Linked DNA regions of Diceros bicornis minor. The protein of the gene in region 1 interacts with the protein of each later gene in a pairwise test. Links are inferred from orthologs where the notes say so. Each region holds a gene or a part of one and is shown on either strand. Other genes may lie near its edges. The genes, in order: SAT1, DMRT3, DIPK1B and RBM17.

What was found.
Region 2: the proteins of SAT1 (region 1) and DMRT3 interact in binary tests that used the Homo sapiens proteins (3 or more experiments, as listed by UniProt). The two-hybrid records come from large-scale screens. The link is inferred for Diceros bicornis minor from reciprocal best matches to the Homo sapiens genes SAT1 and DMRT3.
Region 3: the proteins of SAT1 (region 1) and DIPK1B interact in binary tests that used the Homo sapiens proteins (3 or more experiments, as listed by UniProt). The two-hybrid records come from large-scale screens. The link is inferred for Diceros bicornis minor from reciprocal best matches to the Homo sapiens genes SAT1 and DIPK1B.
Region 4: the proteins of SAT1 (region 1) and RBM17 interact in binary tests that used the Homo sapiens proteins (3 or more experiments, as listed by UniProt). The two-hybrid records come from large-scale screens. The link is inferred for Diceros bicornis minor from reciprocal best matches to the Homo sapiens genes SAT1 and RBM17.

What each region holds. Positions count from the first base shown.
Region 1 is NC_080781.1:19,986,468-19,993,301, forward strand, and holds the start of SAT1 (diamine acetyltransferase 1), read left to right. Parts: upstream 1-3,830; 5' UTR 3,831-4,018; coding exon 4,019-4,084; intron 4,085-4,353; coding exon 4,354-4,405; intron 4,406-4,495; coding exon 4,496-4,579; intron 4,580-5,967; coding exon 5,968-6,069; intron 6,070-6,159; coding exon 6,160-6,200; intron 6,201-6,316; coding exon 6,317-6,487; 3' UTR 6,488-6,834. UniProt on the Homo sapiens protein: Enzyme which catalyzes the acetylation of polyamines. Substrate specificity: norspermidine = spermidine >> spermine > N(1)-acetylspermine. This highly regulated enzyme allows a fine attenuation of the intracellular concentration of polyamines.
Region 2 is NC_080761.1:25,498,276-25,506,133, forward strand, and holds the start of DMRT3 (doublesex- and mab-3-related transcription factor 3), read left to right. Parts: upstream 1-4,853; coding exon 4,854-5,304; intron 5,305-7,858. UniProt on the Homo sapiens protein: Probable transcription factor that plays a role in configuring the spinal circuits controlling stride in vertebrates.
Region 3 is NC_080767.1:42,132,171-42,139,699, reverse strand, and holds the start of DIPK1B (divergent protein kinase domain 1B), read left to right. Parts: upstream 1-4,514; 5' UTR 4,515-4,578; coding exon 4,579-4,641; intron 4,642-7,529.
Region 4 is NC_080775.1:7,288,897-7,296,867, forward strand, and holds the start of RBM17 (splicing factor 45), read left to right. Parts: upstream 1-4,956; 5' UTR 4,957-5,047; intron 5,048-7,971. UniProt on the Homo sapiens protein: Splice factor that binds to the single-stranded 3'AG at the exon/intron border and promotes its utilization in the second catalytic step. Involved in the regulation of alternative splicing and the utilization of cryptic splice sites.

The DNA.
Region 1 (6,834 bases):
TAGTTTCAGTTAACCTTTGCTGTGTAACAAACCACCCCAAAATTGAGCAACTTAAAACAACCATTTTATTGGCTCATGATTCTGTGGATTGATAACATGCGCTGGGATCAACAAGGTGGTTCTTCTGTTAGTCTTTCCTAGAGTCACTTGTGTGTCTGCAATCATCTGACAGCTCAACTAGGATTGGATGGTCCAAGATGACCTCACTTACGCACGTGGCTTTTGGTGCTGGCTGTCAGCTGGACCTTTCTCTTCATGAGGTTTTTCATCCTCAAGGAGACTAGCTCAAGTATCTTCACATGGCAGCAGCAGTGTTCCAAGAGGGCATGAGCAGAAGCTTTACAATCTCTTGACGTCTTGCTTAGAAGTTGTATACCATCACTTCTACTGCATTCTGTTGGTCAAGGCAAGTCACGAAGCCAGTCCAGATTCAAGGAGTGGGGAAATAGACTCTACCTCTTGATGGGAGGAGCTGCAATGAATCTGTGCCATTTTTAATCCACTACACTGTATATACCAACTGAATATCAGCCCTGCATGTATATGTACATAAAAAAAAGACTGGAAGGAAACCAACCTGTTAACAGGGATTATTTTTATCTTTTTATATTCCCGCACTTCTCCAATTTTCTTAATCAGTAAGCATTACTTTCATAAACATAAAAAAAATTTGACATCTTTCATAATAGTTTAATAGGGCAGGTTGGACAGCTTCACTTTGGCACCGAAATCAGCCGAATTCCTTCTCCCCCAGCTCTACCACTTCCCGGCTTTGGCAATTTTGTAACCCCTCTGAGCCTCTGGTTTTCTCAGTCATAAAGACGGAGCTAACATTACCTATTTCACAAGACAGTTGTAAGGATCAAATGCGACAATGAATATAAAGCACCCACACCCACCACGTGCCTTGGCAGAGACATGCCTTGGCGATTTCCCTTCCTCCTCTCCCCCTACTCAGACCTCCTCAGTTATAGGAATTCTCTTTCTCACAAAGATTAAATTCTGTTTAGTAAACTACACACACTCTCTAAAAGTAAACTGTATGCCCTGAGGGCTGGTTTCAAAACTTAGTCCTCCTTTATAACCCCCAAGTACCCAGCACAAGACTCAATAAATATTTGTTGATTTGTTGACTCATTAACCAAATAAAAGTTTTCCAAATGCAAGGCAGTTAATCCCTTTTTATGCAGTTTTAAATCTAAATTCCAGTATCAAGAGGGGGTAATGTTGCTTATCCATTGCATCTATCTATTCATGACAATGGAAAAGCCTAACTTGATTCACTGCCATGAAGAAAACTCAACTTTCTGAGGGTTCTAAGCTTCTACATGTGCACAAACACAATCACAATGAGCTTTCGTCAGCCATATGTTTTTCAGAATAGGCTCTTCCTTGTCATAATGGCAAAGTTGAACATAAGAGCATGAAACTTAAACTGGAAAAACAGGATAAACAGAAAAAAAATTATAATGCATTTTAATGAAACAATCATTATTCTAAAAAACTAAGCAACCCAAATTGAAAATGGTCTTGTTTTTGCTTCAATGAGGCAGCTATCATTAGTCACAGAGGTCTAATTTACTGTTATCAGTAAATTTGTAACAAGCTCTCCTTCCGCCTCCCACAAGTAAGACCAAAGCAGAGGAGGGAAGGGCCTATGAATGGTCATCAGTGTGTCATGGTGTCAGGAAAGACACTACCTGGATTAGGTAGATGAGAATCAATGCTATTTTTAAAGATCTTTGAGAAAGACACTGCTTAAACTCCCACCGGACGGTGACTCACTATGCATGACAGCCCCAGAGGGTGGGAAGGGTAAGAGAGAACCCACTTTTGCTTTCTTTTTTACATACAGGATATTGCTAACAAAGGCAGAGAATCACTTGTTGAATGTTGGGGGAGGGGGGTGGGAGTGGTCATTTGGTGATAGTCCAATCTCTCATTCCACAGAAAGAGAACGCTGCAGGCCCCTTTTATGCTTTCTCTTTGACTCACTCCGGAAACCAGGCAGGACCCTAAGGAAGGTCTGTCTGGAAAGGTGGGTTGTAAAAGAAAACTATATCTGTCAGAGGCTTGAATACTTGTTCCAGTGGGTACAATCCAGGAATAGCTTTACCTAATCCAACTCTTCTCAAACATTTTGCTCCCAGGACATTTAAAAACTATTGAAGAATCCAAAATGCATACCTTCAAAAATTCCAGAAAACATTAGAATACATAAGCACACATTCCTTTAGTCACTAAAGCAATGATGTCATCACACATCCCGTAAATTTATAATTATTTCAAAACAGAAAGTTAAAAAAAAGGGAATAAAAAGAAGCACAGAGGATGGAGCAAGTAGGGATTACAACAGCAGCAACGGAAGCCAGAAGATAGTCAGATATCATCAATATGCTGAAAGAAAATAACTTCCAATCTCAAATTCTGTCAGCAGTAAAATAAATCCTTCAAGAATTTTAAGATGAATTAAAGATATATTTAGACAAGCAAAACAGAAAATTTTACAAAAGCAGACCTTCACTAAAGGAAATTATGGAGAGTGTAACTCAGGCAGAAGGAAAGTGTTTCCACAAGGAAGGTCAGAGATTTAAGAAAGAATAAGAAGGGACAAAAGTAAGAAATAAAACCTTGTGTTAATTCTAAAAATTATAAGTACAGGAGTCCCCCCTTATCTGCGGTTTCACTTTCTGCAGTTTCAGTTACGGTCAACAGCAGTCTGAAAATATTAAATGGAAAATTCCAGAAATAAACAATTCATAAGTTTTAAATTGTGCGCTGTTGCGGGTAGCGTGACGAAATCTTGAGCCTTCCCACTCTGTCCCGCCCAGGATGTGAATTATCCCTTTGTCCAGTGTATCCACGCTATTTATGCTACCGGTACCCACCCCTTAGTTACTTAGCAGCCATCTCAGTTATCACATGACTATCCCGGTATCACAGTGCTCGTGTTCAACTCACCCTTATTTTACTTAATAATGGCCCCAAAGCTCAAGAGAGAGCAGTGATGCTGGCACTTCGGATATGCCCAAGAGAAATTGTTGTTAATTTCTTACTGTGTCTAATTTATAAATTAAACTTTATCATAGTTATGTATGTATAGGAAAAAACATAGTATATACAGGGTTCAGTACTATACCCAGTTCTAGGCATCCACTGTGGGTCCTGGACTGTATCCCTTGCGGATAAGGTGGGACTACTCTACAGGCGGAAAACTTATTGAGGAATCCAAATAACTTACCTTAGGAAATTCTGTAAAACACAAGAGTACACAAGCACGCATTCCTTTAGACATCAGAGCAATGACTTCATGACACAACAGGTCGCCTCTGGAAAATTCCAGCGAGAGTGAAAAAGGCAAAGGACATCTTACTATTATTATGGAAGTACTTTTGACACAGACTCCCTGAAATGATCTTGGGACCCACAGGGCCCCCGGATCACAATTTGAGAATCGCCTCTCTATTCCCTTCATCACCCAAGGCCAGGTCTGAGTTTCCTTTCCTGACGGGTCAAGGAAGAAACAGCAAGGTCACTGGTCGGGGGCCACCAGGGGAATTGCTCTCTCCCTTTCGCAAAGGTTACTGGAGGACACGTAGGCTCCGAGGTCGGGCTTCCGGGAAGGCTCCACGAGGCGCCACTAGAGGGCGCCGCTAGAGAACCCCGCCGCGCACCCCGCCCACCCCACCCGCTGGCCGGGTTCACACGGACGCCCGGAGGAGAGGGCGGCGCCAGGAATGGGGGGAGGCGGGCGCGGCCTCATTGGACGAGGACCGTCCGCCTCACGGCCGGGGGCGGGGCTTCTCCGCGCTAAAAAGCAGAGCCGAGCGGCGGCTCGAACGCGCAGCTCTGGTGGCAGTCAGCTGGAGGTTTTTCGTCGCTCACCGAGGTTCGCCGGGTCATGGTGCCAGCCTGACTGAGAAGAGGACGCTCCCGGGAGACGAATGAGGAACCACCTCCTCCTGCTGTTCAAGTACAGGGGCTTGGTCCGCAAAGGGAAGAAAAGCAAAAGACGAAAATGGCTAAATTCGTGATCCGCCCGGCCACCGCCGCCGACTGCAGTGACATCCTGCGGCTGATCAAGGTAGCCGAGGCCCGGGCTCCTCCCGGGGCGGGGTGGGAGGTGGGCGGCGGCTCCATTTCCGGGAAAGTCCGCGTCTTGCGCAGGTTCCCCTTTCTCCCCCGCCTCCCCAGCCCCAGCCGGGCTGGGCAGGGCCGCGCCGCTCAGCTCCGGCCAGACTCAGGGAATGAATCGCCACCCCGCCCCGCCCCCTCCTTCCCTCTGAGTTATCCGGGCCGGGGCCTCACTTAGTTTTCTGCTTCTCTCCCTGTCTCCTGTGTGCATCGCCCCAGGAACTGGCTAAATATGAATACATGGAAGAGCAAGTAATATTAACTGAAAAAGGTAATGTATCAGTGGGGGGCGAGGGACGAGCGTCCAGTACCTGTCACCTTTACCGAGGCCAACACTGTCTGTCCCTGCTGCCCCTTGCAGATCTGCTAGAGGATGGTTTTGGAGAGCACCCCTTCTACCACTGCCTGGTTGCAGAAGTGCCCAAGGAGCACGGGACTCCGGAAGGTAACCGTCCTCCCGTTTCAGAAGCCAAAGAAACCAAGTGTTGTGTAAATCGTAGTGTCTGCTGTGTAGAGAACCACTTACAACACAGGCCGAAGTTACTAAGAAGTTGGCCAGAAATAATAGCCAACCAGTGTTCAGACTACTGAGGAAAAAAAATAGATGTGCGGCACTTAATAATAGGGCGGGTTAAAAGAGCTGTTTAAGTAAGTATCAGAGTGCTGTGGAGACCCGGAAGAGTTAGGTATAATGTCATTTGTTGTAGTTCAGTTTCATAAATGGTTCTTGTTTGACCCTAACGTAACCTTTTTTGTAATTGTTAAATCACATTTTTTTCTTTAATTTGTCCCAATCTTCAGGTTACAGTCTCTAGCTTCGCCATGTACATGGCCCTTCCGTGTACATGGATGGGCGGGGAGGTAACTAAAAGATCCTTTACACAATAAAGTAGATGATCATGATAAATGAGGTAAGGTCCTATTATCACACACTTAAAACACGGTAGATCAGAAACTCCATTGTACTCGCTTCCTGTCTGTGTTTGCAAAGGACTATAAAATGGCTAGAAAGTTTAATTTGAAACCTTTGCCTCCAGTTGGAATTACAGACACCCATAAGAGGATGTCACATTTTGTTTTGTTTTGCTGGTCCCTGTTGACTGGTCAGAAGATAGCGCTAAAAGGGGAAGTTGTTGGGGTGGGTGCTTAAGTTTTTTTCTGACATCTGTTCCCCAAGCTAGAAGAAATGAGCAGAAAACGTAAGGGGTGAGGTGCTTTTTAGAGGGATGTGGATGTTACATAATACCTGTTTCTGGGTATCTCTGCTTCTTCTGGCTTAAAAACTGGGGAGAGCAAATTGAAAATGTGTGAATTGGAAGGCAAGTTCTGAAATTAAACGTTGCGTTTTTTGGCCTGATGTCCTGACCTTAAGGAAGCAGAGTTTCTAAACTACAAATATTTACTATTCTGAACTGCCGTGTAAACCTGACTTATTCCCAAGTCAACATACCAGTATATCAATAGGATGTGAATAATGTGTGTGTTTAGTTTAAGACCATAGCAGTTTCGCTCTGGCAAATAATGAAAGCATTCTCGCTTCCTGAGTATGAGATCCAGCAGATTGCAGAGTGGCCAGTCCACAATTTAAGCCTGGCTTCAGCTAGCTCTAATGTGTGCTTTTTGCAAATACATGTTTTGAGAACAGTGAGATCATCCAGCAGTGGCCTGGACTGCACTAGCATAAAAGTCAAGAGACAGTCTGGTTCAGTGGCTACTTATTTTTATAATACATGCATGTGTATTTTTTAAAACCTATGATAGGCCTCTGATTTTGCAGCTACAACTTTTATGGATTACTTTTCATTCACATCTCATGTGATACTCTTATTACAGGACACAGCATTGTTGGTTTCGCCATGTACTATTTTACCTATGACCCATGGATTGGCAAACTATTGTATCTTGAGGACTTCTTCGTGATGAGTGATTATAGAGGTATGGTTGAGTTCAGGGGGAAGCTCTAAAGAGAATCAGGTCTTGAAGTCTTTAAGATGATTTTTTAAATGGTACTTCTCTTTCTTTTAGGCTTTGGCATAGGATCAGAAATTCTGAAGAACCTAAGCCAGGTACATTTTGATTTTTGGTTTCTGAATTTGTAAGAGTTATTGGATTATTTTAATGACTGAATCAAAATTGGGTCTTGGAAATGTCACTGAGTTTGTTTTACTCTCCCATATAATAGGTTGCGATGAAATGTCGCTGCAGCAGCATGCACTTCTTGGTAGCAGAATGGAATGAACCATCTATCAACTTCTACAAAAGAAGAGGTGCTTCTGACCTGTCCAGCGAAGAGGGATGGAGACTCTTCAAGATCGACAAGGAGTACTTGCTAAAAATGGCAGCAGAGGAGTGAGGAGTGCTGGTGTAGACGATGACAGCTTCCATTCTATTTTAGAATAAATTCTCAACTTATCTTGCTTTCTATCCTGTTTGTAGTGAAATAATAGAATGAGCACCCATTCCAAAGCTTTATTACCAGTGGCGTTGTTGCATGTTTGAAATGTGGTCAGTCTGAGATGGCAATCTTGTATGCAGTTCGGAGTCAGATTTCTCCTTGAACATCTTTTTGATAAACAACTAGGTGGTGTGATCTTAATGTATATGAAAAAAACTTCATTCTTGTGAGTCATTTAAATGTGTACAATGTACACACTGGTATTTAGAGTTTCTGTTTTGATTCTTTTTTAATAAACTACCCTT
Region 2 (7,858 bases), on another chromosome or scaffold:
TTGCATGGAGTCGCACCCAATTTCCCTGGGGTGCGGGCGGCGCCCACCGTTTCCCCTCATTATTCCCGGGCCCCTTGAACCGAGCAGGGACTTCTTTTCTGGAAGCCCGCACATCCGCCCGTTTCCCCGCAGCCGGGATGCTCCGGTACAGCAGGGACGGGAAGGCAGAAGGGGCTCGTCCTGGAATGGAACTGCACCAGCGCCCCGAGAGCGAACACTGGGGAAAAGAAACTGTCTTGTCCCTTGAATGTTGCTCTAATACCCTAAAAATATTTCCTTGGCTATTTTATGTTTTGTTTAAATTTTTAAAGTCGCAGGGGAAAGGTTATCTTAAAACTGATTTCAAGTCAGGGCTGTTCTCATTTTACCTTGGAGGGTACATATTTTTTCCTTTTTCATTTGCACAGAAGACAGAGCCTGCAGGCCGCCCATTGAGACCTTCTTTCAAAATGGTGTGGGGACGTGACCGACAGCCTCAGCCGACCCCACGCCCTCCTGCTGCCCAGCGCGGGGTGTCCGCTCGGCCCCGGAGCCCCGCCCGCGCGCTCGTGCGTGCAGGGCCGCAGCCCAGAACTCTCGGGGACTTCGTAGGGCAGCGGACAGGCCGATGCCGGAGCGGGAGTTACCGGCTGCGCCCGGGGCCTCCAGGGGCGAGCCTGGGCCCCAGCCCAGTGGGGACCGCTGCGAGGGCGCGCTTCTCTAGTCCTTCCCTTCGAAAGTGCAGGGCTGGGGTCGCCGCTCAGTGGGCCCCTCGGATGAAGTAATGCAGGAGCAACACCCCCACCCCAAAATGTGAGGGCGGCGCGGCCTTGTGTCTGGGCTGGAATCTGCACCGATGGGAGCGCTGGCTCCCGGGCATGAAGCCCCTGCTGGCTTCAAGAGTTCAAGAACGTGCAAGACGGAGCAGCACCTGCCTGGTCTGCACGAGGCCGGCGGGGTTGCAGGCCGTTCTGCCCTCCCCTTTGCTCCAAAAGGCCTTGGCCTCTGAGGATCCTCAGGCTGCCCACTGCCAACATGGTGTGGGGGACATGGCCGTCTAGGACCTTCCTTCTGCTCAGCGGCGTCCCCCGGGCCCGCCTGATGCAGCTTCAGTCACCCCGGCCGCACGTGGTCTCTGCCCTCCGCTCCGCGCCCCAGAGGGCCTCTTCAGGGATGCCTTGGGGGGTGCACACGAATTTCTCCCCAGTTAATTGAGGGAGAACAAGGGCATTGCTGTCACCTCAAAAAAGCGATTGCTGGTTGCCCCACCGCCTCAAAGATATTTGTTCCCCCCTTTCCATCTGAAGCTGGTCGAAGAGCGCTGCCGAGAGGCACGGACAGGGTGACAGCTGAGAAGTCCCTGCGCGAGGAGAGGGGTCTCGTTTTCCTGCATTTAAAGTGTTTTCTGCACGCCCCGGCCTCCAGCGTCACCGTAGTCTCGATTAAAACGGCAAAATAGGAACCCTGACCTTCAGCTCCATGAGAATGCAGCAACGCAGAAAATTTCCTGATACAGTATACATCCGGGACAAGATGAAACTGTCGTTTTGATTAAGCGTTGCTTGCGGTGAGGAGCAGCTACCAGGACTGCCAGATGTGGAGGCAGAACATCCTCCGTTTCTCAGCGAGGGCACCTGCATTCTCAGCTTTTAGATGTACACGCACCGTGAGATTGTGTGTGCGCCGAGCGAGAGAACCACATACGCACATTATCTTTCACCCTTTCGCTGTTAATACCTGTCACAATTCTACCCGGTTAATTGTGGTTTGAAAACACACACACACATACACACACACACACACTCCCCACCCAGAGCAGAACGCGAGTGGATCCAGTCTAGTGAGGTTACATTGACTTGTAATCCTCCCCCCTCCCTTTCCAATGTCTTGGATGATTTTTCCCATAAGTGTGTAAGCCGCCGGGACTTAGCAGAAGTGGGCCGCTCCTCCTAAATGTGATTCGGACCATATGCTTTCTACATTCATTCCCGCTCCGGCTTTTCTTCTCCGCACTAACTGCTAACACGTTATAGTCACCTTGAAATTTCCTCTGCTATTTTCCAATTAAAAGCTTAATAGCCCTGGAAACGGAGTTCATGTGGTGAAGTTTACCATAGCCCCTTGTTCTGAAAGGCTTTCTGCTGGGATCCCATTATGTGCTTGAATAAACCCTTTCTGCAAACAGAAATGGGACTCCGGGTTGTCAGGTGTTGGGTTACAATAGACTTTGAGGCAGGGGACATTTTACCAACATAAATACAAACCTGTCCCTATAGGGAGATGTTGTCAAATACTGGGATATGGAAAACATTCCCATCAAATATGAGAAAAGGATTATTGCGCTATATCAAACGAGTATTTAGATCTCAGCCCCCGATGTGCACTGAAGTGAAACAGGGCCCTGGGACCAAATAATGCCAGACTGTTTGAGTGGCAAAGGGATAGGGTGGCTAGGTGACCGAGAGGGGAAAGGGGTTGTCTTGGAAGTGGGAATACCCCCCAAACCTCTGCTTTCCTTTAAAATTCTTTACTCCCAAGTTCCTTATACTCCCGGGTTTCCTTGACCATTTGGAGAAAATCGGGAGAAATTTGGCTTTGAAAAAAGTCCATGTTCCTCACGTTCCCAAGCGACCCGGAGATTTCAGTGGGGAAGTTCTCAGATTCAGTGTCATTCTAGGCCCTGTACGTCTCATCACGTGAAGCGACTTGCTGCCCCACTTCTTGGCCTCTGGCTCACCGGGCTGCGGGTGACCTCTGCCTCCAGTCCCGAGAGGTTATCAAGTTCCTTCTCGTTGTAGTGTTTTAGGGCTTTTCTTCCTAGCGAAACTTAGGAAGAGAGGAGATATTGAAGCGGTGGTGGGGTGGGGGGTTTAAGGGGCAAGACCCCAGGGGTCCCTGCCCGACGCAGCTTCGAGAGGAGGCCTCCCAGGGTTATCGCTCTCGTGCAAGAGTTTCCTGCAAAGGCCCCACCAGGTCAGCCTCCAGCGATCCCCAACTCCCGGACAGGTCTGAAACTGGGGACGGCTAAGGGCTTCAAAGGAAACACACACAACCGTGTTCCCTTTTTAAACCTCTTCCCCTCTCAGAATCCCTCTTCCAGGCGGAGGGTTGGCTAGAAGAACGCCTGGCTGTGCTTTTACTCGAATTCACAGCACAGAGACATTTTCGGATTGCTTGTTTCCAGGCAGTGCAGAGAAAAGTGGCCTCTGCGAGGGTACAAGGGGCGAGGTGCAGCCTAACGGTTGGCCACTGCAGTGGACTCATCTATGCTCTCATCTCGCATTCGATTCGCTCAGACCGCCAAGAGATGAGCTCAGTTTCTGCTCTCAGAAGCCTGCGGACCGACGGCTCCGGGATTGCCATCTCCACGGCTTCGCACTGAGGCATTGTGCTACCCTGCGCCGCTGTATCCACCTGTTTTTAGTTTTCGTTTTTTGATTTGGGGGTCCCTGTGCATGTGTAGCGGCAGTCTGCATTAGGCCAAACCGGTACTCGTAGGAGATTAAAAACACGCAAATAACAGTTTAAACAAAGTTTTATGCTATCCAAAGACGCTGGGAGGAGTGGGGGAGGAAGTGGCCCCATCCTTTATCCATAACTAAATCACTGAGTCCGTGGGGATTTGAATTGGGTGACGAGAGGCCTCCGTTTGATGGTTCAGCGGCTACTGGGGCGAGGGGAGATCATATCCGGTAACTTTGGGGACGCTAACGTGGCTCCTTCGTCCACGCTGAAAGTTTAGACGCAGCACTTAAGCAAATCCTCCACACGAGCAGACAGAGGATTTCAGGACAGAGACTTGTTTTTATCAAAACGTGGGGAGGAGGGTAGAGAAACTCCGCGCCAGAGAAGGAGGGCTGTTTTTCCCTTTGAAATAGCCTGCAAAATGGGTTGTCATCCTTGGGCCAGCAGGTTTTCAACACTTTCTTCTACAGCAACAAGATAAAATATGTGTTGCAAAAGGAAATCAAGAGCGAGCCGAAATTTCCCGAACCAGTGCCCTACAACCAGTGGCCGTGCGTGGGGCCAGGCTCGCCCCAAATTAAGACCTTCTCGGCTCATGCCGGGTCCCGAGAGCACCCGCAACGCTCCAGTAGGCCCTGGCTCTCGCGAGCCGAGTTTCTTCGGCCAAACGTTGGGATAAAAGCGGCCTCGGGCTCGGTGCCGCCAAATTAGGCCTGCAGGGAGAAAAAGAGAGGGTAGGGGAGCGGCCGCCTCACTCGCCTACAGGCACCCCACCCTCACCCCCGCCAGTCCTCCCCTTCCCCGCCCCGTGCGCACCGCCGCATCCCGGCGCGCTGCAGTCCCTCCCGTCGCGGGCAGGGGAAACGCAGAGCGCTAGGAGGAGGGGGCCGTGAGCGCCCCCGCGAGAGTGGCCTGGCTGCAGGTGGCAAGGAAGGTGAAGTGCAGGGACTCGAGGGGCGCGAGGAAGGAGGAAGGCGTGGAGTAGGGTGGGGAGTGCAAGGAGACCAGGACCCCGGGGGTGGGGGTGGCGGTGGGAGGGCGGAGGAGTTGGGGGAGGGCGGTGGAGGAGGTGCTGGGCCCGGCCTGCGCGCGCGGGAGTTGCGGAAGAGCTGGCTCAGACCTTAACCCGAACTGTCGCCGGCTCTTTGCAGCCGCCGCAGCGCCGCGGCGAGGGAGGACGTGCGGGCCAAAGCAGCGGCTGGCGGAGACGCGACCGGCGTGGGATTGGCGGAGTACCAGCGGGACACTGAGGCTGCGAGCGCCGCGGGAGCCGTAAAGACGGCTGCCGCACCTCCGGCCATCCCGGAGCGCACGCGGCCGCCGGGGCTGCGGGACCAAGGACCCCGCCATCCAGCGCCCCCTGGCCTGCTCCCGCCGCCAGCCCGCAAGCTCTTCCGGGAGCTCGGGGCATGAACGGCTACGGCTCCCCCTACCTGTACATGGGCGGCCCGGTGTCGCAGCCGCCGCGGGCGCCCTTGCAGCGCACGCCCAAGTGCGCGCGCTGCCGCAACCACGGGGTGCTGTCCTGGCTCAAGGGCCACAAGCGCTACTGCCGCTTCAAGGACTGCACCTGCGAGAAGTGCATCCTCATCATCGAGCGGCAGCGGGTCATGGCGGCGCAGGTGGCGCTGCGCCGGCAGCAGGCTAACGAGAGCCTCGAGAGCCTCATTCCCGACTCGCTGCGCGCTCTGCCCGGACCCCCGCCGCCGGGGGACGCCGCCGCCGCCCCGCAGCCGCCGCCGAACTCGCAGCCGTCTCAGCCGCCGCCTCGTCCAGCTGCCGAGTTGGCTGCGGCCGCCGCGCTGCGCTGGGCTGCCGAGCCCGCGCCCGGGGCGCTGCAGGCACAGCTCGCCAAGCCAGGTAAGAGCGTCTGCGGGGCGGGAGCCCGGCCAGGCGCGTGGGCAAAAACTTCCGAGCTCCTGCTGAGGCTCTGCCTGGGAGGCCTGGGCGGGCCTTCCCCCACAATCCCCGCCAAGCCAGTTCTTACTATCTGGGCAGAAGCCGGCCTTCAGTCTGCCTACCGCGCGGGTAGCATCCAGGCGCCCGCGGGCGAGCCAAATGGCTGGATTCTGCGTCGGGATCGCCAAGTGCCTTGCCCAGGTTAAAGGTGAACGTGTCCGTTTCAGCGGTAAAGAGATCGAGACCGGACCCGGTTAAAATCCAAGCGGGCACACATACCACCGCGCGGCTGGGCTTTTCTGACTGCGGTCCTTAGAGGGCCTTGCATTTGGAGGTAGGGACGGGTAGGTGCAGGGAAGGAGGCAAGGCCCAAGGCTTGTCTGACTTTGAGTTGGGCGTGCTTCTCGGCCCGGGGGAACTAGAGCGAACCTGAAGCCTTTCTAGTAGCGCTCTGTGGTTTCCACTCTCTTGCAATAGCTGAAAGAAGCCCCATTGAGAAGCAATAGTAAATAAAGGGCCAGAAAGGCGCCTGAACGGATAGCGAGGACCCAGAATCTGGCGCGCCCAGAGTCAACTCCTTTTGCAGAACCGCTCAGGTCTTTTAACACTGTTCCTCAGGCTACCCTCATCTGTTTCTGTGGTTTAAAAAAATAAAACAAAACTTAACCGACAGTGAGGAAGGCCCCCTCTGGCAAGCCCTTTCCCCGTTCTAGGCGGGGAGATCTGCTAAGCTGCCAGTTTCGAGCAAAGGATCTCTGAGTCCTCTTCCTCTCTTCCCCTCTCATCTCCTCTGCTGTGCTTTAGAGAGAGTTTCCCCTGAGCCCTAGAGGTGGACAGATTCCCCCAACCCCCTGCTTCCATCTCCTTCCCTCCTCCAGGCCTCCTGAGCCTGCAGGCTAGCAGTTGAGTCTCTCTCCTCCTGGGGAATCTCTAGCTTGCTGTCCTGCCCAGCCCAAGTGCTCCTTTGATTTTAGGATCTTGGAATTCAATGGACATGTGTTTAGTGTTTTCCCTTCACTGGGGCAAATGTATAAAGGAAAAGAGGCAGTCCTCTTGGGGAGGGGATTAGAGGATATGCTGAAATTCGCAGAGGGAAGGCCTGGAAGGCCCAGAGTCCTGTGTAGGTGGAACTGTGGTAGAGCTTCTGCCTACCCCTCCACCCTCCAAAAGGACAGTACCTCTAGCTTCTGGAGAGAGGCTTCCAGGAGCATTGAGCTGCTGTGTGGAGCTGGGGAAGTGCAGGCTTATTGGTTGGGGAGGGAGTTGATAGGCAGCCTGGCAGGCATAGTTGTGCTGCCCTGTTGCTCAGTTATGCTCTCTAAGCCTGAAGCTCTGAGAACATCTTATGTGAAGAGCACAACTGGGTATTTTAAGGACGGAAGAGAGTTTGCTGAGCATGGATTTTGTGGCTATTTAATCCAAGGTAGGGTATAAGCATTTTTCTGAGTAATACCCCCCCCCATTGTGTCTTCAGTCTGATCACTTCTTATTTGTAGATTTGCCACAGAGGAATGGAGGGTAGCGTGTTTTGTTTTTCTCTTTTAGGTTAGAACAAGTAACTGGGAAAGTGTCTCAGTTCTGGAAGTTGATCTGTGCCAATAACTTCCCAACCTTTCTGTTTCCAGTTTCCCTGTCTCCATTTCTCCCAGCACCGGGGCAGGAGTCTGAGTTCATGTCAGTGGTAGCATTTTGCAGTGGCCACCTGCCCAGCAGCACCCCTGTAATAGGGCATTGGGTTCTGGGGTCCTTGTCCAAGAGGGGAATCTTCTCCCATCCTATGCTTTTCAAACCATTCTCTGGGATAGCCACGTTTGTGGTTTCTAAAGAGCCACAAAACCAACAACCCTGGGAGGCGACTTGTGAGGGCAGGAAGAAAAACCCAGTAGCAGCTGCAGCAGCAGCAGGATACATAGTTTGGGAAAATAAAAGAGGGAGACTGATTTCAACTGGACAAACCAGACCTGGTGCTCTCTCTCACTCGCACCAAGTATTCAGGGATAGCCTGAGTCCTCCAAACTGAAAACAAGTGATTGCAAAGGAGACTAGGATTTATCACAGGGAGGGGTCAGAGCGATGTCTCAGGGAGATTGAGCCATCAGGGGCCAGCGGCTCAGTTTCCACCTGGTCATGCTGCATACCTTGCACATTCATTTATAACTTTCGTTTTCTTTTTTAAATTGGTTTGACCCCATAATCTCGTTCTTTAAAAAAAAAAAAAAAGGCAGCCAATCATCAGTCTGATGAGGAGGTCAAGAAAAGAAGATAATTGTTTTCCACTAGGAAGGCAAGCACACAAGTGGATCATTTCTGTGCAATGCTTTGTAAAAAGGCCCATTTGGGGTTTAAGTTAGAGAAAAGTGCCTGGGTGAGACTACCTGTTGCTGTAGGTATTAGACCTTTTTTTGCAGTTGTTCTTATAATGTATTTGTATGTAACATACCATACATATTTAGAAGTATACCAGAAACTCCTGGATAAGTAGCTCACTACAGGTAGAGAACTAAGTGAAGCTCTA
Region 3 (7,529 bases), on another chromosome or scaffold:
TCCGTCCACAGTCTGTTCCTCTGCCTGGAATGCCATTCCTCCCCCGGCCCCCGACCCCATCCTTTGCGTCTCAGTGCTTCTCCGGGCCTGGCCTGGTCCTGCCGGTGTCCCCACAATGTGCTGGGCTCCCCATTCTCCACACCTCCCAGAACACCCGTCTGAATGGAACTGTGACCCCTGACCTCAGCCCAACGATCAGTGGGATGGGCCATGTCTGGAAGGGCCATCTGCCCGGGGGCCTGAGTTTCTATTTCTCCATTTTCCTGCGACATACTTGTGCCTGAGACTGAGGGACACCAGAACCCTGGCACGTGGCTACTCAGAGAAAGACTACATTTCCCAGCCTTCTTTGCAGCAAGTAAGGTCATATGACTAAGCTCTGGCCAATGGGATGTGAGCAGAAGCAGTATGTATTTCCAGGTCCCGTCTTTAAATGGAAAGGCAAGCTCTTCACTTCCCCTTTGCTCCTCCTCCTTTCTGGAGTGTGGAGGTGATGGCTGGAGCTGGAGCAGCCATTTTGGACTGCAAAACAAAAGCCATGTCTTGAGGATGCCAGCACCAACAAGGCAGAAGGATTTTAAGGCCCTGACACGTGGGGTCTCAGCCCTTGAATGCTTACACTCAGAGCACTACACGAAAGGTAACTACACTTCTCTCCTGACTAAGCCAATTTTATTTTGGGGTCCTTTGATGAAACTTGTTGTATTTTCACTGACTCTTGTGCTGTTTCCAATGATGTAGCTATTTGGTCTGCGTAATGGGTTGGGAAGTGTCCCCAGATTCATATCCCCCTGGAACTTCAGAATGTGGCCTATTTGGAAATAGGGTCTTTGAAGGCCATGTGAAGACACAAAGACAGGGACTCCTCTCACACAGGGAGACAGCCATCATATGACAACAGGGGCAGAGACTGAAGTGGCCACAAGTCAAGGAACATCAGGATTGCTGGCACCACCAGGGGCTGGGAGGAGCCAGGAAGGATTCTCCCCTGGAGCCTTTGGCGAGACGGCGGCCCTGCTGACGCCTTGATTTCTGACTTCTAGTCTCCAGAACTGCAGGAGAATAAATTCCTCTTGTCTTAAGCCACTCAGTCTGCGATATCGTGTTACGCAGCCCTAGGAAACCAATACAGTTCACCACGTGGACAGTTACAGAGTAAAGCCTCCTCTTTGTGGGGCCGTGACCTGCGGAAATGAATTTCAGCTGCTGACCGAACCCTCTGGGCCACGCGCGGGCGCTCGTGGCAGGGCCTGCTCTCCACGGGCCCGACCCAACGCAGCTGCTGGCGCAGCCTGCACCTCCCACTCTACCACCACTGCCACCTGGACCCACCACGGCTCCGGGCTTGGGGACAGCCAACATCACAGACGGGGCACAACCTAAGGGACCTGGTATTCCTGATGCAGAGGCAACTGCCGTCTGCCAGACAGGACTTCTGCCCGAAGCTGGTTCATAGGTCTCACAGTGGGGCAAGGGGACACTGCAGGGGGCGTTGACCCCGGCTCCTGGCTGATGGACCCCACTTCGACCCCTCTCAGGGCTACGGGCTGTGCCTCACCAGCTCACCATGGTGCTGTGTTTTGAGCCAGTCAGCGGACTGCCACAACATCGTGGCCCCTGAAACTCAGCGGTGTCACGTTCTGGCTTCATGCGCAGTCTGACAATGGTGCTTCTTCTACTGCAAAAGCCGCCCAATGGGGGCTGGTGGTCAAGGTGCCAGAGGCCCTTTCACGCTTCCCATGGCCCACAGACCTGGTATTGCCGAGCACTGGAATGGCCTTCTCCAAAGTCTGCTGGAGAAGATTTCTGACTCCGCCTCTGTCCCCGCTGTCTTGCCCACATGCCTTAGGCAGGCAGCTCAGGCCCTGAACGTGAGTGTCCCCAGAGAGGAGCACCTCTGTTTGGCCACCTCCTTGGTAGTGACCAGGATGAAAGGGCGGAGGGGGGGCTATCTAGATTCTTCCTGACTCTCCTGAGCAGGGTGCTACTTCTGTCCCCTAAGGGTGCCCTTTGGACAGCCGGGGTGGTCCAAAAGGGGGCCCAGGAGATGCAAACTTAATTCTGGTCCAGCCACCTGGACTCTCCCATGGGACCGACACGGCCCTAGATCCAAGGATGACAACCACTTGGTTGAGGACATTGGGTGCCCAAGGGTGGGCCATGTGGTCAAAAGTGTGGAGTGTGGTGGGTCTCAGTAAGTTTTACAAAAATGCCCACAGCCCTTTTGCACCTGACCTTATCAGTCGGGGTCCCATCAGGAGACAGAAGCCACATGGCAATTTGAACAGGGAAAGTTTGCTATGAGAATGACTAACAGGAGTGGCGTGAGGAGCAGGGACAGGAGTACCCTTTAGGGCTGACCCCCACCCCCAGGCTGAGGTCTTGTTGGGAGGGTGCAGCTGTGGCTCATGGGACAGCAGAGAAGTCCCTGTGGTGCCGGCAGAATTGCTGGAAGTCTGCCGTCTGGAACGTGCCAGAAAACCTGCCTCCAGGATGCTGGGAAAGCTGCTCACAGGGCAGAGTCTCCCTGGAGGTGAGGAGCTGCAGAACCACCGGGGGGTCATCTTTCCAGCAAACGCGCTGGAACAAGTGAATATCCACGTGAAAAAACCCCAACAAACAAAAACCCCGAAACACAAAACACAAAACTAAAACACTACTTTGACCCATAACCTTGCACCAAAATTTTTATTTCACTGAAATTGAATCATCGACCTAAATGTAAAACCTAATACTATAAAACTTCCAGAAGAAAACACAGAAGAAAATCTTTGTAACCCTGGTAAGGCAAAGATTTCTTTGATGTGACACAAAAGGACTCACACAAACCATAAATAAAAAGAATGATAAACTGGACCTCATCAAAATTAAGAACTTGCATCCTTGGCAAGACACTGATAAGAAAATGAAAAGACAAGCCACAGGTGGGGAGAACATCTTTGCAAATCACATATTTGATAATGCACTGGTATCCAGAAGACATAAAGAAGTCTCAAAACTCAATAACAAGAAAACACAGTAAAAAAAAAAAAAGATGGGCAAAAAAATTGAATAGATACTTTGCCAAAGAAGACACACGGGTGGCAGCTAAGCACAGGACAAAACGTTCAACATCATTAGTCGTGAGGGCAATGCGAATGACAGCCACAGAGAGGCACCACTGCGCACCTCCTAGAATGGCTAGAATTTAAAAACTGACAATACAAAGTGCTGACGAGGATGTGGAGCAACTGGAGGTCCCGCCCCCGCGGTGGGAATGTAGATGGCGCAGCGGTGGAAAGCGTCTCCGCAGGTGCCGGTGAAGTTACACCGTCCCTGGCCACACGTGTCAGCAATCTCTCCTCTCCCCCTCCCGAGTGAACTGAAAACTTACCTTCACACAAAAACCTGAATGCGAAAGATTGTGGCAGCTCTGTTCCTGGTCACCCCAAGCCCGAACCAACCAATGGCTGAGCGCGCTGGGCATCTGTGCCGGGAAAGCCACTCGGCGAGGAAACCCAGGGACCGAGTTTCCATGCGCTCTGCCGCGGGGAAGGGCCAGACCCGAAGGCTATCACCACTTTATCCCATTTCTGTGACCCTGACACGAGCCAGAGCTTGCCAGGGCTGGGGCTGCGGGGAGGGCTCGAGGAGAGGGGGGCCCCGGGTGTGTGCTGTTCCCTGTCCCGAAAGTGGAGGTGCCTGCCCGGCTGTATTGTAAACACTGGCAGAGGCGCACGATAAGAAAGGCGCATTTTACTTGGTTCCGTAAAGAAACGAAAGGAACAGGCAAACGCCGCCACGGCGTCCACCGCCCCTCCAGGCCGGGTGGTTGGCACGGGACCCCCACTCGCGGCCTCGCCCCGACATGTCCCCCTCCCTGGGCTCACTGCCCCTCCCGCCCCTGCCACGCGGGGCCTCTGCAGGCTGCCCGCCTCGGCCGCCGCCTCCCTCCGCGGGGGCGCCCCAATCACTCAAGGGTGCGGGCTGGGGGCGCGTGTGGGCAGAGCCTCGGCGCCCTTCGCCTTCTCACGGGGCGGGGGCGCGCGGGGGGAGAGCGGAGAGGTAGGGGCGGGCCGCGGGCGCCTCCCACCAGCACCGCAGGCCTCCCTCCGCGTCCCCGGCCCCCCACCTCCCTTCCTCCCGCGCGCCCCCGCGGCGCCCCCGCCCCTGTGCGGCCGCGCGCGTCCCTCTCCTCTGCGCGTCCCCGCCTCTCCTCTCCCGCTCCCCATCCTTCCTCTCCTCGTCCCCGGTGCCCGGCCCGCCCCTCCCTCTCCTCCGCGCGGCCCCGCCCCTCCTCTCCCCCTCCCCATCCCTCCTCTCTCCCTTCCCGGTGCCCGGCCCGCCCCTCTCTCTCCTCCGCGCGTCCTCGCCTCCCCTCTCCCTCCCCACCTCCTCTCTCCCTTCCCGGTGCCCGGCCCGCCCCTCCCTCTCCTCCGCGCGCCCCCGCCCCGGCCGGCCGTCAGAGGCGCGCGCCCTCCCGTGGACGCGGGCGGGCGGGGGCGCGCGGAGGGGGAGGAGGAGCGGCGGCCGTTGCGGGCCGGCCCGCGGGGCTGAGGCCGAGCCGAGGCGGGCCCGCGCACCGGCCGGGCGCCCACCATGCGGCGGCTGCGGCGCCTGGCGCACCTGGTGCTCTTCTGCCCCTTCTCCAAGGGCCTGCAGGTAGGCGCGCCCCCGCCCCGGTCCCGGCCCCCTCCCGGCCCCTACACCCCCCCTCCCCGGCCCCTACAACCACCCCCCGCCCTCGGTGCCCGGGCTGCGGCGGGGGCGCGCGGCGTCCAGCCCTGGGGGAACGGCCCGGGTCCGGATCAGGACTCGAGGTTACTGAGCGCTGGGGTGCGCGGGCCCCGGCGCGGCTGGGGGCTGGGAGAGGACTGTGGGGGCCGGGGTGGGGGGTGTTGATGGGGCGAGCAGAGGGTCCCGGCGCCGCGGAGGCTGCGGAGCGGCAGTCCCCGCGCTGGGGCCGAGGAAGGCCTCCATTCCCCGCGGGCAGGACCCTGCTCCCTGAGGCCCAGAAACCACACCGAGTCCATTCCCTTTTCCTCTACTTATGAGATAAGGTTTTTTGTTGTTGTTGTGGAAAACTTGAGACACATACAAAGCCCTAAGAAGGACATAACCTCCCCTGGGTCATCTCCCAGCCAGCCTGAGCTTAGGGGTGTGCCCTGACCCCACTGTGACCTTGGACAAGTCACCGTCCTTGCCAGGAGCCAGTTTCTGCAGGGGAGGCCCGGGCTGCCTTGGGTGCCAGCTGTCAGGAGCCCTGTCACCTCTGCTTTGTGTGGTCCAAGCCAGGCCCACATCCCAGTCTCAAATCCTCCAGGCCCACCCTGTGACCCGGATGCCCTCCAGGATGGCCCTGTCAGAGCTGCCCACACCTCCGTGGCCTCCCCAGGGCTGTCCTGGGGCCAGAGCAGGAGGGTCCCTGCCAGGGCCGTGCCCTTGGCTCAGGGCCTGGCTGGCCTCAGCTCCCCACCCGGGAGAAGGGTGGGAGCCAGGAAACACGCCGGTCGCATGTCTGTGCCAGACGCCCTCCCTGCCTGCCTGGGGCCTTGGGGTGCGTGGTGGTCTTGGTCAGCTCTGGGCAAGGCGGGAGCTGAGGGTCTGAGGGTCCACCCCACAGCAGGAAGCAGAGATGTGCACTGGCTCCTGTCCTGAGGGAGGGGCCTTGACCAGGCTGCTGCCGGGGAGGCCCAGAGCAGCCGGCTCCAGACCCTGGGCACTAGGCCTCTGAGCTCGGCACAGATGGGTGGTAGAAGGGTTCCGGCAGATTCCCAGTGGTCTGAGCCCCGCCTCACCCCCGTCTTAGTGTTGGGACACTCTGAGCCTCAGTTTCCCCACCTGTGAAACACCCTCCTGGGTTGGTGGTGCTTGTAGGGCATTGGCCATGGGTCGTTCACCGTTGTGCTGTTACTGTCCTGACTGACCCTCCCCATCCTCCAAGTGGCGTCTCCAGGAGCCTGGGGGGGGCGGGGCTGGGGGGGCAGCTGCAGGGCCCCCCCCCGCGATGAGTAAGACCCGCCCTGTCCCAGGGGCCCACCCACCAGTGGGACAGGCCCCCCTGGGAGGGGGCAGGGCAGGGAAGGGGATGGGGGTCAAGGACTGGCCCTGGAGGAGGTGCTTGCTGAGGGCGAGCACCTGGGGGTCGGGCGGAACCAGCCAGGTGGGGACGGGGTGCTGGGAGAGGGGCCGCCACGCAAAGGCCCGCAGCCCTGGGGGTCTGGCGGGGGAGCGGGCAGTGTCTGGGGTGGGCCCCGCAGGCACTGTGAAGCCCAGTCCGCCCACGCGTCCAGCACTGGCTATAGCCAGCCCTCCTCCTGCTGTCCCCCAGGACCCCCAGCGCCGGCCTTCAGGGCCCTCTCCGAACTGAAAGCCCACCCAGAGGCCCCGCCCACCGCTGCCCCAGGACGTTGTTCACCACCGGCCAAAGTCCGACCTTGTCCTGCCAGAACACCCCCCTCCCTCCCCCGTCCCTCCACTTTCCTGTTGTTCACTTTGAACACGTCTGACGGAAATAGGCACGGTAGCGGGGACAAGTGGGCCTGAGGCCCAGCCCCTCACTCTGCCCTGGGCCAGTCCCGCTCTTCAGTGGCCACTGAGGCTCCGGGCCTGCCCCCGACTCTCGGGGTCCTCCCGCTGGAGCTCCTCCTGGGAGGCCAGCCTGTGAGTGGGTGCAGGGAAGCGGGAGGGGAGACCCTGGCCCGTCCTCGGTGGGGAGCCGGTGGCCCCATTTCTCAGGGCCAGCCCTCAGCCTCCAGCTAACCAGGACCCAGGACTAACCAGGATTGCAGCTGCTGCCCGGCCCGTGGGTGGAGGGCATGTGCCAACGCTGGCAGTGGCACCTTCTCTGGGGGCAGGCTGGCCTGAAGCCCTGGCCTCCTGCTCTTCGGGCCGCTGGGGCTCAGCCACCTGGTCAGGTGTCCCAGCCCCTGTGTGGGACAGTGCATGGCAACCCCGTCCCCTCGGCTGACCACTCTGTGATTTGCCAGGGCAGGGAGTGGGGAAGGGAGGTAGTGCCCCTGGAATCTGGGCTTGGGGGCTGGATGGGAGACAGCACCCTCCAGGGCGCCAGGACCCTCATATCCTGTGATTCCACTTGTAGCTGGGGAAACCTGGCAGAGGGGCAAGGCCTCTGTAGAAGCAGTTCCCATCCTGGCCCACCCTGAACATCTGATGGGCCACCCTGGACATCTGGGACAGAGCTTCTGGCAGTGGGGCCGGGGCTGCGTCTCTTATTTATTTATTCTTTATTGTGGTAAATCATGCGTAACATAAAATTCACCATCTTAACCACTTTTAAGTGCACAGCTCAGTGGCATTCAGCACATTCACGTTGTTGTGCAGCCGTCACCACCATCCGTCTCCAGGACTCTCTCATCTTCCCAAACTGAAGCTCCGTCCCTGTGAAACACTCACCCCATCCCCTCCCCTAGCCCCGGCACCACCATCCACTTCCTGTCTCTGTGGGTTGACTCCTCTAGGGCCCCCGTATAGGTGGGATCCTACAGAATTTGTCTTTTTGTGACTGGTTTATTTCACTCGGTATGTCC
Region 4 (7,971 bases), on another chromosome or scaffold:
TTTCTTTTCACTCACTTCCATGCCGCTCCTGGCCCTGTCTCCCTACTGGAAGTCTCCACTGGGACTTCAGCCCCCACACCTTGGCCACACCAGACTTCAGGACAGAGAGAGCAGCCCACGCATCCTACTTCTCCCTCACTCCCCTCAAAAGGAAGCATCCAGAAGCGTCCGGAGCCCCCGAGAAGTGTGGCTCTTTTCTCGCTCTGTTACGGACTACAAAAGTGTGTGTCTCCCTCAAATTCATGTGTTGAAGCCCTACTTCTCAATATGATGATATTAGGAGGTGGGGGTCTGTGGGAGGTAATTAGGTTTAGACGAAGTCATGAGTACAGGGCCCCCAAGATGGGATTAGTGTCCTCATATGAAGAGAAAGAGACCGGAGCTCTCTGCACCCTGTGAGCACACAGCAAGATGGTGGCTGCCTACAAGCCAGGAAGCTGGCCCTCACCAAGAACCAAATCCGCCTGCCTCTTAGACTTCCCGCCTCCAGAACTGTGAGAAAATCAGTGTCTGTTGTTTAAGGCCCCTAGTCTGTGATATTTTGTTACAGCAGCCCCAGCTGACTAAGACACTCTCACGGCTTTTTGCTCAAACAATTTTCATAGGGAATTTCCATTTTTATGGTGTAATTCTACACCATGCTACATGAGGATTAAAGTGAAGTAATGTAAGTAACATGCCAGTAATATAAGGAAAGAGTAAGGCCTACACAATCAGGGTTCTGCATTTAGCGCTCAAAAAATTGCCAGCGTTGCTTAACCAGAGCAGCTAAGAGAATAGCCCGTTTCCTTGTACAAATCTGCCTCTCTTGGGTTATGGAGATCTTTGCTTGGTGCCTGTCTTGTAGGATGTGGAGTGGGAAGATTGGCTTTCTTACTTCCAAGTCCTGAGCTGCAGATCACTCCCATTCTCTGCTAATGGTCAGGTTCAGTTTTCACTTCAAGCACTAAGTCTTTATCAATTGATTTCTACAGGGTTTGCTCCATCTAACATACTCTGCAAAATACCAGGTGCTATAGATGGAATGTTTGTGTCCACCCAAAATTCATATGTTGAATCGTAATCCCCAAAGTGATGGTATTAGAAGGTGGGGGCCTTTAGGAGGTAATTAGGTCATGAGAGTGGAGTTCTAATAAATGGGATTAGTGCCCTTATAAAAGAGACCCACCCCCCCCCCCAGAGAGCTCCCTTGCCCCTTCTGACATGTGTGGACGGACTAAGACACCAGGCAATGCTTACTTATTCAGCTGGCACCTGCATGGTCCTGCAGTTGCATTCGAATAAATAACAGACCTGCAAATAAAAAAAGAAGAAGAATGAAAGCACGGAGAGAATGGCTGGCCGGCTGGTGGGCTGCATTGATAAGTGCGTAGACCATCATGGGTCCAGCTTGTGTTCTCTTCCAAAATTCACCCAGCCTGTGGGCAAATAACCTTGTTCATGTCTATTTCATCTGTTCACCAGGTCTCTGGACCCCGGGGATGAGTGCCATGTCCTATAATCTGTCTACTCACCTCCTGCTGCAGACTGGGTGGAGCGACAGCCACGGGTCTACCTTGTCTCTCTCCAATGGGATCTGGATCTCCTGCTGGGTTGAGCCACCGCCTGCTGTGTCTAAAACAAAGTTCCTTCCACTGAGAATTCAGTCTTTCAACTTACCAGTCACTGCACGTCTTCTTACCCCCAGGCTGCCCTGTGAAGGGCATGCTCCCTAGAGTTGTACGCACCCTGCGTTCACACCCTGACTTTCTCTTCCTAGTTGTGTTACCTCTATCAAATTCTTCAATATGTCTCAATTTTTCCCACCCCCCTTCCCTTCAGCCAGGGCTGATATGCTGTGTGGTCAACCACAGGATGCTAGTAGCAGCAGTGCCCTTTAAGAAGCCTTCGGATTCCTCAGCTAAGCCTAAATTTGAGAATCTGGTCTACATATGACCCTGAACCTAAGCCTGAGCACGTTTGAACTGGCAATCTGGGTATCCCTCCCGGAATGATGCCCCTGCTTTGGAAATCCTCACCTCTAAAATGGAGCTGACTCCACAAACCCAAGTCTCCAAGCCAACCCCAGAAATAAACCCTCCGAAGCCAGGACTGATTCCTCCAAAACTGCACCCAGCACTCCAACCCTGAGCACGTTGTCTTACTGCCAGAACGTTCTCCTTCTCACCTAGAGCTGATCCCCAAAGCCCGGGGAATGACCTTACTCTAGGACTGAGAATTTCTGTCCTGATGCTGTACTATTTTATTTAGGATTTTTGCACTGAGAATCATAAGTGAGAATGGGCTACAGTTTTCTTTGGGCTGTACTTGGGTGTCACTACTGTGCTAGCTCCATGGGAGAAATTTGAAGCTTTCCTTCTTTTTCTATGCTCTGGAACAGCACATCAGAATTCACTGGCCCTAAAGGTCTGATAAAATTCTCCTGCGGAAACATCTGGACCTGGTGCTCTTTTGGAAAGGCTCTTGGCTTTTCTTCCCAATTTTTCCTGTGATAGTTGGTCTGTTTAAATTTTATAACTCATCTAAAGTCCATTTTGAGAGATTATGTTGTCCTGAAGAGTATCTGTCTCTTCCAGATTTTCCAACTTATTTGATAAAACTGAGCAAGGTCATCTCTTAAGATAATTTTACTTTCCTCTGTATTTGGAATTAATTCTTCTTATTCCACATTTTGTACATTTGTGCTTTCTCCCCTTTTTCTTGTTTAATTAACAGCTCACCTATTTATTTTCAAAGAATCATCTCTTGGATTTATTTTTTTAACTCTATATTTTTCTGTTTTATATACCATCAATTTAGGCTTTTATCTTTATTAATTACATCTTTCTGCTTGTCAAAGGTTTATTTTGTTCTATTTCTAACTTCTTGCATGGGTGCTTAATTTATTTAGTTTATTCTAAATTTTTAATTAATATAATCCTTTAACACCATGAGTTTTGGGGCCGGCCCCATGGCTTAGTGGTTAAGTGCACGCGCTCCACTGCTGGCGGCCCAGATTCGGATCCTGAGCGCGCACCGACACACCGCTTCTCCAGCCATGCTGAGGCCGCGTCCCACATACAGCAACTGGAAGGATGTGCAACTATGACATACAACTATCTACTGGGGCTTTGGGGGAAAAAAATAAATAAATAAAATTATAAAAAAAAAAACATGAGTTTCCTCTTAGTACTATTTTAGCTAAATCCTATGGGTTCTGATATGTCATTTTCATTTTCACACTTTTCTAGGTATTATTTATTTGTTTTTGTTTTCCTTTTTGATTCAAATGTTGTCTAAGCATTTAAAAATTTCCAAGGGGTAGGAATGTTTTATTTTCTGTTTTATCATTAATTTCTAGTTTTATTGAATTCTGATGAGATAATATTATCGATATGGTTCCACTTATTGGAATATATTAAGATTTTCTCTGTGGCCTAAAATGTGGCCAATTGTTGTGAATGTCCCAAGGATACTTAAAAAGATGTAATCTCTGTTTCAGGGTACAGAGTTTGATATATTAGATCAACCATATTAATTATATTTTTAGATCTTCTTAATCCTCAGTTATCATTTATGACCTTAATCTGGCAAGGACTACAACAATTATTTCTGACTATTCATTCTCTTTATATCTCCTCTAGTGTTTGCTGTGAATAATGAAATTATGTTATTTGGTGCATAGATATTCCTATTTTTTTCTTCACTGTGAATTTTAACTCTTGTGATTATAAAATGCTCTTCTTAATCTCATTAAATGCTTTTTGCTCTGAAATCAACCCTGTGTAATAGTAAGTTTGTGATCTGTTATTTCTTTATGCTTGTATATTCCTGGTATACCTTTTCCAGTCTTGCATTTTCAGACTGTGATAATCCCTCTATTTTGTGCATTGTCTTGTATGCAACATAGAGTTCTGTTATAGTTTCTGTTCCAATCTGAAGTTGTATTATTTTTTAAAATAGATAAATTTAGCTCATTTACATTTATTCATGTAAGATGTTTGGTCTTAGTTCTGTCATATTGTTTTGTTATGCTTTCTGTTTTGTAGCTTTTTCATATTTCACTATGTGATTTTGTTTAGTTTGTTATAGTTGTGTTTTGATAATTTGAAAGGTTTGTACTTTTGTTCTGGGTTACCATAATAATGATAATATTACTTGATGTCCTAATCATCTATTTCTTCAGATTGTCTACTGACAACCTACCATATTTCTTTCTTTTCTCCCTTTCCTCCCTTTTCATAATCACCAGATTTTAGTTGATTATATTGTTTCTTAGCATGTTCCTTTGTACTAACATGTATACTTAAATCTCTACTATTTATCAGCTTGAAATATTTTAAACCCCAATTACAGGCGTGAAAATCATATTTACACGAAATCCTATTTTCTCTTTTCCTCCCAACTTTTGTTATATCATTTTTAAACTGTGAGGCTTTATAACATTTACGTTTTTTCTATCACCCTAAACTCCATGTCTACTGTTTTCTTAGTCGTACACTTAATTCAATGCTTGCTGCCATTTCTTTTGCAGCAGTTTCCCGTTCATCTCGCCTCGGGGGATTTGTTTTCAGCTTTGTGCATAGAGATCAATGGTTTTGAATGAATGAGAACGAAGGGTTAGGAGGGATTCTCCCTCTCTCTCCTATTAGAACGCACTTGGCTCCCAAAGACGATCTTTGCCGCCTTGGACCATTTCTCGTCCTCACCATCTGGGGTCACTGCCGGGCTCTCCTACGAGTCTGAAATTTCACAAACTTGCGCCACCGCGACACCTCTTGGCGGCAGAGCAGGACGCCGGCGGAGTGGAGGTGCAGTGTGGTCCTCCGGCCGGCAGGCGGCGCGGCGACGAGGCGCCCGCGGCGCAGGCACAGGAGCGCCTCTCTCCCGGCCGCACGCGCCCCCTGACCCCGCGCCGCGCGCGCCCCGCGGACTCGGCGTAGGAGTTGGCGCCGGCTGGGGTCCGGCGTCGCGGGTCACTCCGAGGGCGCCCAGCCCGCCCCCTGCGCGGCGCCTCGGCCCCGGTGTGCCGCCACGGCCCATGGGGAGAGTCGGCCGGGCGGCCCGGGTAAGTGGCGCCGGGGCGGGCGGCCTGGCGGGGCGCCGGGGCGCGCGCCTCCCCGGGCGGCGCTGGACGCGAGGCCGAGGCTTTAGGCCGCGCCGCGAGGGGGCGGGAGGTGCCGGCCGCTGGCGCCCTCGGCCTTCAGCCAGGCCCCGGCCGACCCTTCGCGTTTCTCTTCGCGCCCCGCCGCCGCTCTTGTCTATTTGCCTCGGGTCCCCAGGCCCTCTCCCTCTCCCTCTTCCTCTCTCCTTCCTATTTTTCCCTTCCCGTCCGTCTGTTTCCGTCCGTTTTGGACCCGAGGACGTTTTCTCCTCCCTTCTGTTGGTGCCGTTGTGAAGTAGTTGCTCGGTCCCTACGGTAGCCAGGCCCGTATTACTTGTGGCCCAGCACGTCTGCTCCCCTCCGGGGCCCGGGGAGTGGGGAGGGAAGAAGCCACTTCCTTCCCCGGCTGCAGAACGGGGCCTCCAGAGGTTGACAGCTCTCCGAGTCGGGGTTTACCTGCAGGGAGACACGACTCCGGCGTTACTTCGGTCCTTGTCCTTCTAGAGCGGGGTTTAGCTCTCATGTCCAGTCATCGAGCATTTTTTGAGCATCTCCTCTTGCCCAGATCATATGTTATGGACAGCGGATGCAAGAGAAATAAGATTCTGTCCTTGCTCTCGAAGTTTAGTCTCTAGGGACACAAGCATAGAAATCCTTGATCTAAGGGACTAGAGTGGAGTCTGGAAAGGCTTCCAAGAGGGGGTGATGCTTATAACTGAGTTTTGGAGGTGTTTTGTTAGATGTGCAGGATGGGGAAAAGGTTCCCTGCAGGGCAGGGGAGATAAGTGTCAAGGCAGCAGAAGAGAAGCACTGTAGTGCATCCTGGAAACTGCGGGTAAGGCAGAGAGAGGTGTGAGGAGGGGTAGTCGGGTCAGATCAAGAAAGTTCTTTGAGAAGTCAGTAAAGGAGAACCGTTGAAGGTACTTACTGGTAGAACCCAGCATAGGAATGGAAAATAGGATATTCTGGGTAAGGGCAAGATGCTGCATGTACTCAGGTAGATGGGGACTGTGCCTCCTGGCAACAAGTGGAGTGTTTAAAGGATGCAACTGAGTTTCCACATTTTTAGGGGGTAAAGACAGCAGACGTTTTGACTATAATAAGGATATTTAGGGACTATGGGATAATATATTAGTAACTTAAACCGAGGGTGTTTTATTTTTAGAATTTTATTAAGAAATGTGCTGCATGCTGTACAGTTTAGAATAGAGTAGATTGTGAAACAGAGAAAAAGATAACAGGGTGTAATAGAAGTGTTATCAGGGCAGAGCTATTCTGATTGTGGAGTACTGTGATAACTAAAAATAGCCTTTATGGAAAATAAGAATTTGGGGAGAGTTGTTGTGCGTTCCCAAATGTAACTTTATAAAGTGGATTTCTTTTTACCTGGTTTGTTTTAAATTACCTTCAGAGAACAGATGATCCAGGGCTGGTAATCTCTCAAGTCTTTCCTAGTAGTCAATAGTGAAGGACGTTCTGTTACACACCTCGATTACAGGTGACTCTTGTGGACTTTGTCTGCAATACACTCCAGCCTAAGGTATTTTGGTAATCATAGAATCTATGAGAATGGGTGGAAATGCTAAACTGTGACAAGGGTGTCAGGGTTTTGGGGGAAAGATGTTTTAATTCCTTCAAAAGTCATTATAAATCTTATATATGAGGCAGATGCCTCTTATTACCTGTATTTTTGGTGAACATCAACGTGCATTGACCCTCATGGTTCCCTTCCTGCTCCTTTGTGTCTGCATATACTTCCCATATTCTTGAGGCTTCATTTTCGCTTTATGATACATGAATTATCATTTTAGTGGTAAAAAGCTCTGCTCTTACCAAGCCTGCTGTTTAGGTGCTGAGAAATCAGACCTCGACTCATTATTAGTTGTGTGGTGGTAGTAGTTTTTCTTCTGTTATTTATAGTATACAATTTAATGTTTACCATACTTATTAAATCCCACTTACCATAACTTATGTCCCTAAAAGACAGATCTGGATATCTTATTGTTTTATAATAATGTGATTTAAGGAGGTGCATTAACATTTTCCATCCGATCACTGATAAGTTTAGAAAATATCAAGTGCTTGCAATGTTCCGAGCATGATGCTGAGCTAGAGATACAACAATAAGACAAAAACAGCCCTTGGCTTTAAGGAGCTTATCATGTAGTAAGAGACAGACGTGTCAGCCATAGGCAGCATAACATGTGAAGGTTGCTCTGATCCGAGTGTGTTCAGGGGAAACAAATGGGGCATAGTTTTATGTGGGGGTGGTAGTCACCAAAGGCTTCAGAGATGCTCTTGAGAGATGAGTAGGTGGGGTGCTTCTGAGAAGACTTGTTCCATGTTCTTTTTCTGCCAGTTGCATGTGTTTAAAAAAATACTCTGCCAGCTTAGGTAGAATCTTGGAAAGTCATCATTCTTCTGGCAGGACCATGTTTACTGTGTTTCTTCTTAAGAAAAAAAATGGAGCATATATGAAAGATGTGTTGATCAAAGGGTAGTGTTACCATAAAAAAGTAAGTAGTGAGCAGGTATTTTAAAGAAATTATGAAAACCAGCTGTTTGTATTTGTGTTCGATCCTGGCCTCTTAAAGTATATCCAAATGTTAGAAAGTGCTACTTTTTATTACCTGGCTCCAGACTTCGTGAAATAAATGTGTTAGATCATCTAAGTGACATCCCAGCATTAATTAGGTTCAGTTCAGGTCCTGGCAGAGTCTTGTCAATGCCCTTGTTACATTTCAGTGGTTGCAGTGGGGAGAATGAATGAATCAATTATGGTGTATTTATAAGTGCTTAAAACGGCTAAAAGATATATACACGCCTTTCAAAGAATAGATGCAATAAAGCTATGTAAATGAAATTGTATGAAAGGAGGAAAGCAAGCA